2 linked regions of the Drosophila melanogaster genome follow. The protein of the gene in region 2 interacts with the protein of the main gene of each other region in a pairwise test. Each region holds a gene or a part of one and is shown on either strand. Other genes may lie near its edges. The genes, in order: spir and mon2.

Region 1 (4,841 bases), about 12 Mb from region 2:
GGCCAAAACCTTTCGATATCTCACCTAATGGCTTGGATTTTAGCGGCTGAATTAGCGGCAATTAAGGTGTTACAAGGTGATCTCTGTTTGGCCCGAGGAAAGTTCTGATGATAAGCATAAACAAAGGTTACGTGTGAATTTAGATAAGAAATTGACGATCACAGACCTTTAATTACAGAGGTTTAAGAGCTAAGAACATTTTTTAAGTTATTTATAAAAGAAAATTTCTGAATTTTAAGTAGTATACTGAAATGGGTTTTAAAATCCCCTAGGACTTCCTACAGCATTATCAGCCATCTATAGTTCCTTCACCTCCGAGTTACACAGTTCAATTAATACTGTAACTTCCTGTATCTGCGTGCCCTTAAGATTACCCATGTAACTGGCTAATTGTCTATAAGAGCTAACTAATTGGCCACGCTGATACAAAAGCCGGCTATAGGCAGAGTTGGCCTGGCCAAATAGAGATAGACAGGCCCATACGAAGAAAGATGCAATGGAATGCAGTTAATGCTGCAGACCAAAAGCTGAGCTGAGTCACATTAAGGGCCACCTAGGAGAACGAAATCCAAGATTCCCATCACTACCCACTCAGAAACGCATTTTCCAATTAACGTGGCTTATCTAAAAGTCGATAGATTACCGACCTGTATTTTGACAGTCCCCGCGCAGACGAATGATTAAACAATTAGCTGCGAGACAGACTCAGACACGTTCTGTAGATTCAGAGATCGAGAGGCGAAAAAGTATCCCCCCATCAATTACAGCGAATGCAGGGGGAATGCCGAAAGGAAAGGCTGTGATCGTTACACTGGAAAAAATCTACTTTCGTAGATTTGGATTCGATTGTATTGCGGCAAGGAAAAGCGTTCAATCTTCTGCCCAATCCGAACATGACCTGCCTTTCTTCCAGTGATACTTGTGCTCTCCGAGCTACAAAAGAAAGTGAAAAACACTGCTGATAGGGTACTGGGATGGTACCTTCTTCATGGGAGTCGCCGTTTACACTTTCCCAAGCCAGCACGCAATCAGACAGAAGGCAGAAGTGGGGAAAACCCCAATCAAAGCTGGCTGGCTGCATAACTTAAATGCAGAGGTCATCATCGGATGGCGGATAGTGTGGGTTGTTTGTTTGGAAAGCGCTGGGGACTCCGCTGGCGATGGCCGGGCGATGCCAATAGTCAGATGGATGGCACACGGAAACCCACATCACGGCAGATGTCCGAAAATAAAAGGCCGAGAGAAAGAAGTTAACTGTGGCTTATTAACTGAAAATGAAAGCGTTTGCCGAAAAGACAAAGACCCCTCAGCATTCGGAGAGGCATCAGCGCAACCGGTTTTCCGGCCCAGCTAATCACAGCCCCAGTTTTCATCACTGTTACAGTTCCGCATCTGAAGTCAACACCCAACTGACCTCTGACGGGCCGAAATACACATAAACTATATATATATCTTTAGGAAGACTCATAAAAAATAATAGGAAATATTGCTCAAAGGATACAGAACTTAACACAAAGTCGAAAGAATATACACGGGTTGCTAGCTTAAAGGTAGTCAAATTGCATTTGCGTGCAATGTACAATAAATTATTTGTGATTAAAACATGTTACTATAATTGTAAGGAAAAACGACATTAAAATGTCATTTGGGGTTGGCAGGTTCATTAGGTTATCAATCCAAATTGTTAGTTGATCAATGTTGTATTGAACATTTCCACTTCTATATAGATTCTAAAGATTGCCAGTTGTGTGCAGCACGTTAATAAATAAATGTTATAACATTAATAACTATGACTATAGATCAATTTTAGTTCAAATATTTTCAGCATGATTTAAAAAATAATAAATTAAAAATTCAAGGAATAGAAGATTCATACTAAGTTAATTTCCGTTAATTAAACAACTGGCATAAACTGCAGGAATATTAATTTCCGCTAACTGTAGCCGTGAGAAATATGTATGCATATTGATTTTTCAGTAGGTCGGTCTGCTTACCTCTGTTGATGACGCTGCTGTCGCCGCTGCTGCTGGCGCTGTGGTCCGGCTGATCCACAATCACGTCGTGCTGCGGGGGGAGGGGGATCTGCTCCTGCTGCAGTTGCTCCTTAGGCGTCAGCTGATCCGGGCCGGAGAAGTGGACGCTGCCGTCGCGATGGAAGTGCAGCTCGAATCCGGTGGGCAGGGCGGCCTCGTAGTCCGCGGCACAGGTGTGCGCTTGTACGGCCACCTGGTGGTAGAGCCCGGCGAACTGGTGGATCAGGGCCCAGGCCTGGTCCTCGGAGAGCGGCGCCTTAAAGGAGTCCAGGATGTCGTGCAGCGTGACGCACTGTTCTGGCGAGGAGCAGCGGTGGAAGGCTTGCAGGATGAGCGGGCGGGCTTGGCCCGCCTGCTGGGGATGCGCACTGGAGGACATGGCCAGCTGGTCCGCTGGCAGCTTGTGTTGGGCATCGCCGTTGGCGCTGTCCGGCGATGTGGACAGGAAGGCGTCTTCCTTCGCGTCCTTGAACTTTCCACTCGGGGTGGGTGTGGGCGTGGCCTTGACCTTGGTGGGCGGCGTGTCCGCCTGCTCCTCGGCCTGGTGCTCCGTCATTATGTGTGTGGGCGTGTGTGGCTATCGATGGCTTTCAACCCGATTCCACTGCAAACCCGGCACTGGCCAACATATAATTGATTTTTTTGCCTCTTTCGGGTGGGCTAACCTGCAAAATTCGCGGTTTGTTTTTGGTTCGATTTTGGTTTAGTTTTGTTGTTGTTGTTTTTCTGTGTTGTGTGTGGTAAATGGCAAAGGAAACTTTAATACAATAATAACACAACACGAGGGGATGGAATTCGGATTCCCGACGTACACGATTCTAATATTTTGTTTGTCGTCAGCTACATTAAACACAAAGCACAGGGTATAACAAAAAACACATGATTTTCGCTTGAGAATATTTTAAACTGGCGTCACGTTTTTGTTTTCGCACTTCTTAAGTCGGCATTCGCAAATCGCCGTTAGACTCTGCTAGAAATTTCACAACACTGAGGAGATGGAAATCACGCACTTTGCTTTATTTTTATTTTCTTCTGTTTCATTTGCATTTCTTTATTATTTGAAATCTCTCTGTTTTTCTTCGGCAATCGCACTTCGTTTTTTCTCACCGGCTATTTTTTACACACGTCCGTTCGCCGCGAGTTGCTAATCGTAAATGACACTCTTGTGCTCAAATGCATGCAGCATGCAACAATGTTACCAACTTAAATGTTGCCGGAACGGCCGTTCCAACTTGAGTTAAGAGAGCATTTTGTTCGTACAAGAAGAGAAATATCTTCGTTGTGTTCTAAATGAAATTTGAATTGGAATTGAGGGATTTTTTTTTTAATTAAAACTGTTCTTTTGAAGACAGCTGATTCACCTAATAATAAGATCACATCAAAATGTAGAGTCAATTCGACGGAGAGCGAGAAAAAAAAAACAAACAAGCCCGCGGGAAAAACATAAAGTTTTCTCTTTTCAAATTTGTTGCTTCAAAACGAAAAAAGTGAATGGTCTCTTGTTATGATATACTCTCTTTTTCCGTGGAAACATGCATAGCAACAAGATGATGCAACATTCCCAAATGTTGCAGACTAAAGTGTTGCCGACTAAAATGTTGACGGATCAGCCGTTCCAATTGGAGTTGAGGGACAATTTTTATTCGTAAATAAAGAGAAATTTTTTCGTTGTCTTCTAATTGGAATTAAGGAATTTTTGGGGAGCGACAGCTGATTTACATAATATAAACATTGATTACAAGAATATATTGTAGTATGTGCATATATCGAGGGTACACTGTACCTATAAGTACACAGCAACACTTAGTTGCATTGCATAAATAAATGTCTCAAGTGAGCGTGATATAAGATCACCCATTTATGCTTTAAGCTAAGTCAGCATCCCCACGCTGGCCGCTGGCCATATATGCGCATAAGCTCTCTCTCTCTCTCTCTTATACATATATATATACGCTGCTCTTCTGCCGCTGTCGACGGCGGCGCAGTCGCAGTATTTAGGTAAGATTAGACACTCTGTAGAGGTTAAGCGGGCAGAACCGTTTCTGCTACTCGAAGAGATAAGAAGAAATAAAAAGGTGGCCTGACGGCTGCACCCAACTGCAAGGAAAACACGTGTTCTCAATTGGTGGCATATATTGGTTTATTACATGGCGACCGTGAGGCAGGAGCCTGCGATCTGAGGACTACTGAGGAAATGCTGCTAATATTGCCGATTTGATTTGGGAATTCTAAACAGCGACAACAGGTGTGAGAGGCAGGCCGCCCCTTACACCAGTGCGGGAGACCTAGAGACGGGACACTGATGAAAAAAAAAAGAAACAAAAATACTGAGTGAGTAGAGTGTGGTAATGGGCAAACGCGGATGTCAGGAAATCAAAAATAAAGGTATAGCACATATTAAGTGGCTATGATATACAAATAAAACACCGCCCCCATGGGCAACGGCACCGAAATTAACTGCCGAATTAGACTTTCTGAAAGAAAACCTCCAGCAAAGAAAGCCGAATACCACAACTCACTCAGCAAAAATAGAAATAATCAATGAAGAAATAACTGAAAATTCAACATCACCCAAGCCGAAAAGACCCGACGTCTGCATGAACGACTGCCCTCGACCATTGTAAGCCGCAACAGCAATTAGCACGGCATCCTGCGAGGGTAGGATTAGGATAAAGGATAAAGGATTCCACCGGCGCGCCGCACATGACAACAGCGAATGTCTACCAAGCAGACGTTCGAACACCCTGCTCCTGTCGAGCAAAGGGATCTGCCAAGTATCAAAGAGGTAATAGAGGTAGATCCGTCCGC
Region 2 (7,977 bases):
AACGATATCTCTGATAGCCGGAACCTGACAACAAAGTAATTTACATGAGTCATATGAGTATTCCAGGATTATTTTTAATCTAATCGTACCTTGGAAGCGGACACTTTCCGCTTTGTCTCTCATCGTCGTTAAACCGTTTGAGCACCTCTTGGAATCGATGCAACAGGGCGGTGACTGCTAGTCTGCCGGCAAAGTCCTTGCCACCTGCTCCCGCGGCCCCAGCAGTCAACACATTGGCGTTGAGACGATTGTTGTTGGTGTTGGCATGGTCCTCTAGCAGCGAGAACTGCAGAAGGGTCTCGAAACACGTTTTGGCAAAAATCTCACGCAGCTTCCAGTCGGATTCGTAGCAAATGTTCGTGTCTGAGGCGGAGTGTATAGATCCCTTGTTCAGCAGCACTACGATCTGCATGATAAACTGGTGTGGCATTTCGTGCGAGTGAGGCAACACCTCGTCCCTCAGCAGCTCAATAACCTGACAATCGATCGTTTCATCCAGCACGATCTCCTCGAGACCGCGATCCTCGATGGTGCACACACTCGCCGGAAACAGGAACTTGTCCAGGGTATCGGCCAAATCGTCCCACAAGCTTGCGAAATGTTGCGGCTTAGCTCGCGCCACCTTGAGACCAGTATGCAGCACGCTAATCAGACTGGAAATGGCCAGCTTCCATGTGCTGGAGGAAAGGCATTTGTACTTCATCGCCAGCGGCGTGCGCAGAGCCTTGACGATGTCATGCAGAATCTGCTCCTGCACAACCGAATCCTCGGTGGCCGTGGTCTGGTAAAGCTTCACGCAAATACTGATTGACTTCTCACCGAAAGGTATGTAGTTCATGCTGACCACCTCAACGGAGGCATTGTTGGCATAGTGTCCCGAGGACTTCGCATACTTGTGCTCCACACTCTGCTGAAATGTGGGCGGTGCGCAAGCGAATTTACTAAAGATCAGCAACTGCCGGAAAATGGCAGGGATAAGCTGGCTGATGTGGGAATCGGGTTTTGTCGCCTCCTATTCAAAGATTATTAATTATATATTATAATGGATTGTCTTGTAAATGCTTGCCTTCTGTATTAGTTCCATGCAATCGAGAATGCCATCGTGTAGCGGCGTCAGCAGGGTGTCCGACACAGTGGACATGATGTAGGGAACCGCATCGGTCTGGACGGGAATGCACACAGCGTTCGTCAGTACCGTACAGAATTTGTCAAAGTCTGCGGCAGTAAATCTGAAAACAATTCAAATATAAATTAATCGTTTTGAAAAAAATAGCTAAACGATATTAAACATAGCAAATGTATAAATTGATCAATTTAAAATATATTATATTTTTGGGGAATCTATGACAATGCGTTCTTCCTAAGTAGGTGTGTCTACTAACTTGACTTGAATGTGCTGAAAAATGGCGGGAAAGATTTGGATCAGGGCGGTGAGGAAGGCCTGACTGGGAATGTAAAAGTCCTCCTGAGTTTCGGCGCCATTGCTATTTTGCTGCTGCAACTTCGCTGACGTCGATGTGGACATTTTGGTGCTCTCCATGCCAATGCTAAGCCAAATGTTCCAAGCAATCTGCTCAAAAGTAGGAAAGACAAAAGTTCATTTAGTATAAATAAACAAAAGACAACCACTTTGGTTGACAGCTATCTTAATCTCTAAACTACTCACAGTCCAAATTTCCTCGTCCTGCTCCTGTGCCGTCTGAGGATCCTTCAATGCCCTCTCTGTTCGCTCTGCTGTGTTGTGGTACATGATCTCCTGTAGAGACTTCAGAGCAGCAAGTGAAACTTCACCATTTTTGCTCAACGCAGCATTCTGGATGAACTCTAGAATTAGTGACCAGGCTCGCTCAAAATCACCCAGCATCTGAAGCAGCTCCCGTTTTGTATTGAACACCCTGCAGACGCCCGATAGAGTCAGCACCTGCGTTTCTGCCCACTGCTTTTGGGCGGTGTTGCGCGAGTGATGGATAAGAATGTTGCCACTGGCGTCCACCTTCTCGTTGCTGGCCGAGCTGCTCAGAGCACGCACGTTGTCCAGCAGCGGGAAGAGAACCTGCCAGACCAGCGCCTGCCACGTGGGCGGATTAAGCAGGCTGCCGTGGGCGGAGATGGTGGAGAAGAGCGTCTGGCCGGCCGATTTACGCACCGCCGGACGCAGATCCACACACAGCTCGCCCAGCTTGGCGTACAAGCACATCCACAACTTATCGAACTGCGGCATCTTCACTGTGCCTGGGAAGTCGGGCAGAATGGACACATCCTGCAGCTGAGTGGACATTAGCTTGTCTTGGTTTTGATTAAAGAAGTCTGAAATATTCCACTGCAATCAAAGTACAAAATTAAAGTAACTCAATAATAATAATACTATGTATGCAACAGTTTATCTAATATGTATAACATAGCTTACCATGAGACCGATAGCCGTCAAAGAAATGTTCAATTCCTGGGTCTGGGAGCCGAACTTAGCAGCAGTGCTGATGCACAGCGGCAGACACCGCCATGGCATTACGGTCAGGAAATCTGTGATAACCAACTGCAGGCATTGGAATGCTGTGCGAATTAACGGCTCGCCATGGTGCTCGTTTACAGCACCAATGATCTCAATAATGGCTGGCCAGCCAAACGAGAGGATTTCCCCTGCAGTGTTTAGGATCTGAAGGACGCAATCCAGCTGTCGCTGACGTACATCTGCGTGCAGGACAGTAGACAACTCAGAGAGTGGACTCAGCAGCATTGTTTGTAGTTCCTAAACGTGAAAGGGGTAAATTTGCATTTTGTTGTGGTACTATTTCTTTGAAACACTTTTCAGTGACGTTCTACAATAATTGTTAAAGAAATACAGAGGGGTAATCTTACCATGTTCTCCTTGAGGGGCGTTTTGTGCTTGAACTGTAGGGCAGACTTCACCAGGTAGGTAATGGCTTCCACGCCCCACTCCCGCATTCGAATATGTCGATGTTGGCACACCTCCAGCAGGTGATTTGTAAGTGGTCGCCACAATACCTTTATGCGGGGCATGTTTACTAGGCCAGTCTCTAGCAGTTTGGCTACCGCAAAAAGCGATGGTTCCCGATTGGCATAAGCAAGTTCCATGGCCTCGTGGGAGAGCTTGCACAATGCATCGATTAAATGATGCAGCGCTACATCGTCCAGATATTGACTGGACTCGAACAGCTGGCTAAGCATTTGTGACAGGACCGGAAGATCAGCCATCACTGCCGTTTGAATTCCCACATTAGCCTCTACAGCTGGCTTTGGCATGGCCTGAAGACTGCCTCCGGTAGAAGGTTTCAGCCCCAAGATCCACACTAGATGCTGCAGCGTCTGCAGCACAATATGCCAGGAGGTACCCAAAATCCCACCATTGTTGTGCGCTAGGAAAAGAATAGCTCGCATACACTGTAGATTCTTGTTAGTCAGCATCACGGGCGCTTGCATCACGCTGTGGGGCAGCGATGCCGATGGCAGTGGTGTACCCACCGCTACGATCTGGGGTCGGAAGTCTCCTGCATCGCCACTACAGCTATTGATGAACTGGCTGCTTAGATCTTGACTACCACTGCGCGTGTGACCTGTAACGGATAGGTTTGGATAAATAAATACACAATAAATAATAAATACAATTAAGAACTTACATCTCAAGTCACCATCCGACTGTGTGGTATTGGCAAATATGGACATGGCATAGTGGGGCGGAAAGGAGGCGCGGCACATGGCCATTATAAAGGCGTCTCGGGGCTGCAGTTGCTCCAGCATTCCGCACAGAGCTGCATAATTTTGCATAGCCTTGAGGATGTTCTCCGTGGTGGCCTCGTCAATCGACGTCTCAACCAACGGAATAAAAGCGCTGAGCAGGGCAGACCAGCTGGAATTCACCAGTTGGAGGCACAGTGGCTTGTGCTCCTCCTCAGTGATCACTGCCGTATTGTGGCTGGGATGAAGCTCCGGGGTTCGCTGAATGACACCTCCAATCGATCGAGTCATATCCAGTAGAATAGCATGCCCAACCGAGATGCCATAACTGTCGGGAATATTCGATGCATCTATCTTATCCAACATTTCCAAGCTGAAAAATAAAATTATAAATAAGATTTTATACAAAAAAGCTGATATTTCAACTTACTAAACGGCCTTTGAGACGCCTGGCGCATATGTGGCTACCAAGGGAAGGTAAGCACCTCGAAACATGAAGCCACATTGATTGCTTCCCGACATGGCTGTCAGTGAATTGGCGACTCCATTCTGCTGGCCATTCAGCATGGCCGATGCATTGATCAGGGAATATCGAATGTAGCTGCCCATGGCAGCAATCATGTCATGCACAATATTGGTTGCATGATTTTTTAAGTCGTACGACTTGCAGAAGAATGCAATCAGTGAAGAGCGCGTCACCAGCTTATGGATAACCTCGAGGGCCAGGGCTCGCTGCCAAGCTGGCTTATCCGGATCCAAGAACTTGATAATCAGCGACAGAAAGATCTCACACTCTGTTACCAGTATAGTGTGGTATTTTTGTATAAGTATAGCCACGAGGCGCAGCAAACGCATGCTAATTGGGAAATAGGGTTTCTCGGCCGGCACAGGAGCGTTTCCATTGCTTGGTGCAGGCAGCTGGCGATGCTTGACGTTTGGCGAGAAGAGCTTTATGACCAAGGCACAGACTCGTTCCTTAAGTAGCAGTCGAAAGTCGTTACTCTATTGAAAAAAAAAGGATTTAATTAATATATAAATAAAACTGATCTTTTGGAACTCTGAAATTTCAGACTTGCTTTTGCTTATTTTCTGATCTAAACTCCTATAGAAACAGCACAATTGTTTAAATCGAAAGACTTGAAAGTCGATTCGTCGTCTAGGCCGATTTGTAAACATACCTCGTGAAACACGGCACTGAAGTTGGTCAGCACGGCCTCAAGTAACTCCAGACCAAAGGTGCGCGTCATTTCGGTCATGCCCAACAGCCAGTAGGGCTGATCCGCGTTTACCAACTGCACAAGATCCTGAAATAGCAGGAATGCATCCGAAGCAAAGGTCTGCACATCCTGATTTCCGCCCTCTCCCTCAGCTGGCGAACCACTGGACTGTTGCTGCTGGAGGCTGGAAACCGAGTCTTTCTCCAGGTACACTCGCTCAAACACCAGGGACACCAGCTGCCGGATGGTGGCACCGGCCGTATTCACAATTGTGGGATTTTTGGCGTAGTGCAGGCGAAAGCACAGAACTAAGGCCTTGGCCAATGTGTCGCCGTGCACCACCGTATTGGTGGTCAGCAAAAGAGTTACTGTTTGCAGCACTTTGACTTCCTCGATGTTGTTCTCCATTAGGGTCCACAGTGCGTTGGTGATGTATAGGGCGCCCTTCTGGTCCACCACCTGCTGGGTGATGAGCCGCTGCATCATGCCTAAGCAAAACTGGAAAAAAGATAGGAAAGCAATTAGATATATTTACTATATAAATGGCTGCTCTTACCTTGATGATCTTGAGGTCCTTGGTCTCGCATCCCTGCACCAGCGGATAGAGTATCTGGTTGACGGTGTAGTACACCGAGTTTTGCTGGCTGCTGCCAGCTGTGCAGAGCTTGGAAATGGCCTCCTCGCACGCCTGATTGGGAATTGGAAACGTTAGAGAGTTAATTTGCAGGTGGAAATGTCATAAAAACAATTTCATATGCGCTGGCTATCAATTTCATAATTGCGTAGAGCAAGCACAGGTGGAACCAGAGCAAACCACCCCCCGCCCACCGACGTCCTTCCACCACCACCCAACTGGGTTGTTGGGTGACACACACTCGTGTGTCGGCGGATAAGTGCCGCAATTAGACAACCACGGCCGTGAATCACACGTCAGCAGGACTCACCTCCTTGATCTGAGGATACTTCTTCTTGGTCTCCAGCGAGAGGGTCTTGAAATCCGCCTGCAGGGCCTCCACAAACTTGTGCACGTCCTGGCCACCGCACCCGCCCCCGCCCACAAACGACATGGTCACTGGTTGTACTCGCTCCTGGTCACTTGACACTCACTGCACCGGATGCGTGCGACATTTAAGTACTGCGACCGATACACGCATATGCTACGCAACCACTTTGGACTCGAGAAAATGCAATAATAATGCAGCGCACAATGAAAGCCGTGAAAAAATTGTGATTCGTTTTGACAGCTGACGTACACAGTGCAGAGTTGCTAGTGATTGGCAACGCGAGCTGGCCATGTTAACTAACATAAGCAGAACCATCATCAACAGTGGCCTGAAAAGCGCCCTTAACAGAGCAGGAGTTTCGGTGAAATTTTGTGGGTCGCCGGAAACGGAAAATAAAGATAATGGCAAGGAAGAAGTATCTTTACCAGGATGAGGCCCTAATCCCAAAAGCCATATACGTTAAATTCCATAAATACAACATCCAAAAAGGATAAGATAAGACTAAAAAATAATCTGTCAAGTATGCTTTTCATGTTTTGCCTATTTAAGCGAACTTTATAAACATGACTTTTGGGTGCTTGGTTCAAATCCACCTTGTAGAGCGGTCACATTCCCGGAAAACTAGAACTAACTTATAGCCATGGCTGGCCGACTGCTGCGCTGCATCCTGATACTAATCCTTGTCAGCTTTACTGTCTTCACGTACGTTTCCAAAGTAGGGGTAATGGAAAAAGTCGACTATTTTACGACAGCGAAACCTGATGTAATGTCAAAAAATCCTGCAATACAGTTAGTGGGCGAAGCGATACGGCTAAGATCCTTTAGGGAGCCTATTAAAGATTTCGACGATGGATTCGCCGTTCAAATTTCAGGAAACAGCAGTGAAGGCAACAAGGATATCTATACAACTATTGATGGCAATATAAATGTTGCAGATTCTATTGCGGCAATTAGAAGCAGAAGAATTGATGAGGAAAAGCTCCATGGTGAGAACTATTTAATTATTCATTAGTCGACTCATATTGATGTTGTTACTTTGCTTTTCTTCAACAGATGACGGGCTAGACTCAAAAGATATTTTAGCAAAGAAATCAGTGGTATTGTATTCAATAGATACCGAAGTTCCTGTCCGAATGCCGCTTGTGAAAACTATCTACAAACCTGGTCACCTGGACAGTGAGATTGATATGGAAAGAATATGTCCGCAAAAAGGGTTATCGACGCAGTTGTTAGTTTTAATAACCTCATCCCTTCGGCATTCGGCAGCCAGAATGTCCATACGGCAGACTTGGATGCACTACGGCAGCAGAAGGGACGTGGGCATGGCATTTGTCCTGGGAAAAGGCAAAAACAAATCGGTGAAGAAGGCCATTGATCAGGAGGATTTTATGTACCAGGATCTGATAAGAGGACACTTCATAGACTCGTACAACAATCTCACTCTGAAGACCATTTCTCTGCTGGAATGGGCTGATCTTCACTGTCCGAAGGCTAAGTACGTTCTCAAGACGGACGATGACATGTTCATCAACGTGCCGAAGTTATTGACCCTCATTAGCACGCTTAAAGCCAATAGAACGATCTACGGACGACGGGCCGAAAATTGGAAACCCATTCGAAACAGGTGGTCTAAATATCACATATCCAACGCTCAGTATGGAAAGCCTACCTTTCCCTACTTCACCACCGGACCCGCCTACTTGCTCACTGGTGACATTGTTCACGCTCTGTATGTCCAATCCCTGAATACTGCATTCTTAAAGCTGGAAGATGTCTTCACCACGGGCATTGTGGCTGAAAGTCTGAACATCCGGCGGGTAAATGTGCGCGAGATGGCTAACACCCGGACGAAATTCGAGACGTGCCACATCCGCGACAAAATTACCATCCATATGGTAAGGAATAACGAGCAGTTTACCTTGTGGAATATGTTATTAGACGACACCATAAAGTGTGATAACCAGGTATAAAGAAAATGAAAATTATTTAACAATTTTTTACAAACAAATAGTTATATACGCTCAACAAAATAAAAAAGGAAAATCAAGAATTTAGAGCGCACT

Evidence for each region.
Region 1: the proteins of mon2 (region 2) and spir interact in a two-hybrid assay, tested with the Drosophila melanogaster proteins (one study listed by BioGRID).

The regions. Positions count from the first base shown.
Region 1 is NT_033779.5:20,309,568-20,314,408, reverse strand, and holds the start of spir (spire), read right to left. Parts: upstream 3,191-4,841; 5' UTR 2,590-3,190; coding exon 1,995-2,589; intron 1-1,994.
Region 2 is NT_033779.5:8,117,838-8,125,814, forward strand, and holds the start of mon2 (monensin sensitivity 2), read right to left. Parts: upstream 6,174-7,977; 5' UTR 5,978-6,173; coding exon 5,855-5,977; intron 5,599-5,854; coding exon 5,467-5,598; intron 5,409-5,466; coding exon 4,872-5,408; intron 4,696-4,871; coding exon 4,124-4,695; intron 4,067-4,123; coding exon 3,636-4,066; intron 3,573-3,635; coding exon 2,857-3,572; intron 2,747-2,856; coding exon 2,408-2,746; intron 2,321-2,407; coding exon 1,667-2,320; intron 1,571-1,666; coding exon 1,383-1,570; intron 1,230-1,382; coding exon 1,067-1,229; intron 1,013-1,066; coding exon 90-1,012; intron 25-89; coding exon 1-24. Other genes in the region: CG8673 (uncharacterized protein), read left to right, coding at 6,555-6,900, 6,968-7,884; CG12375 (uncharacterized protein), read right to left, coding at 7,966-7,977. UniProt on the Drosophila melanogaster protein: May be required for traffic between late Golgi and early endosomes.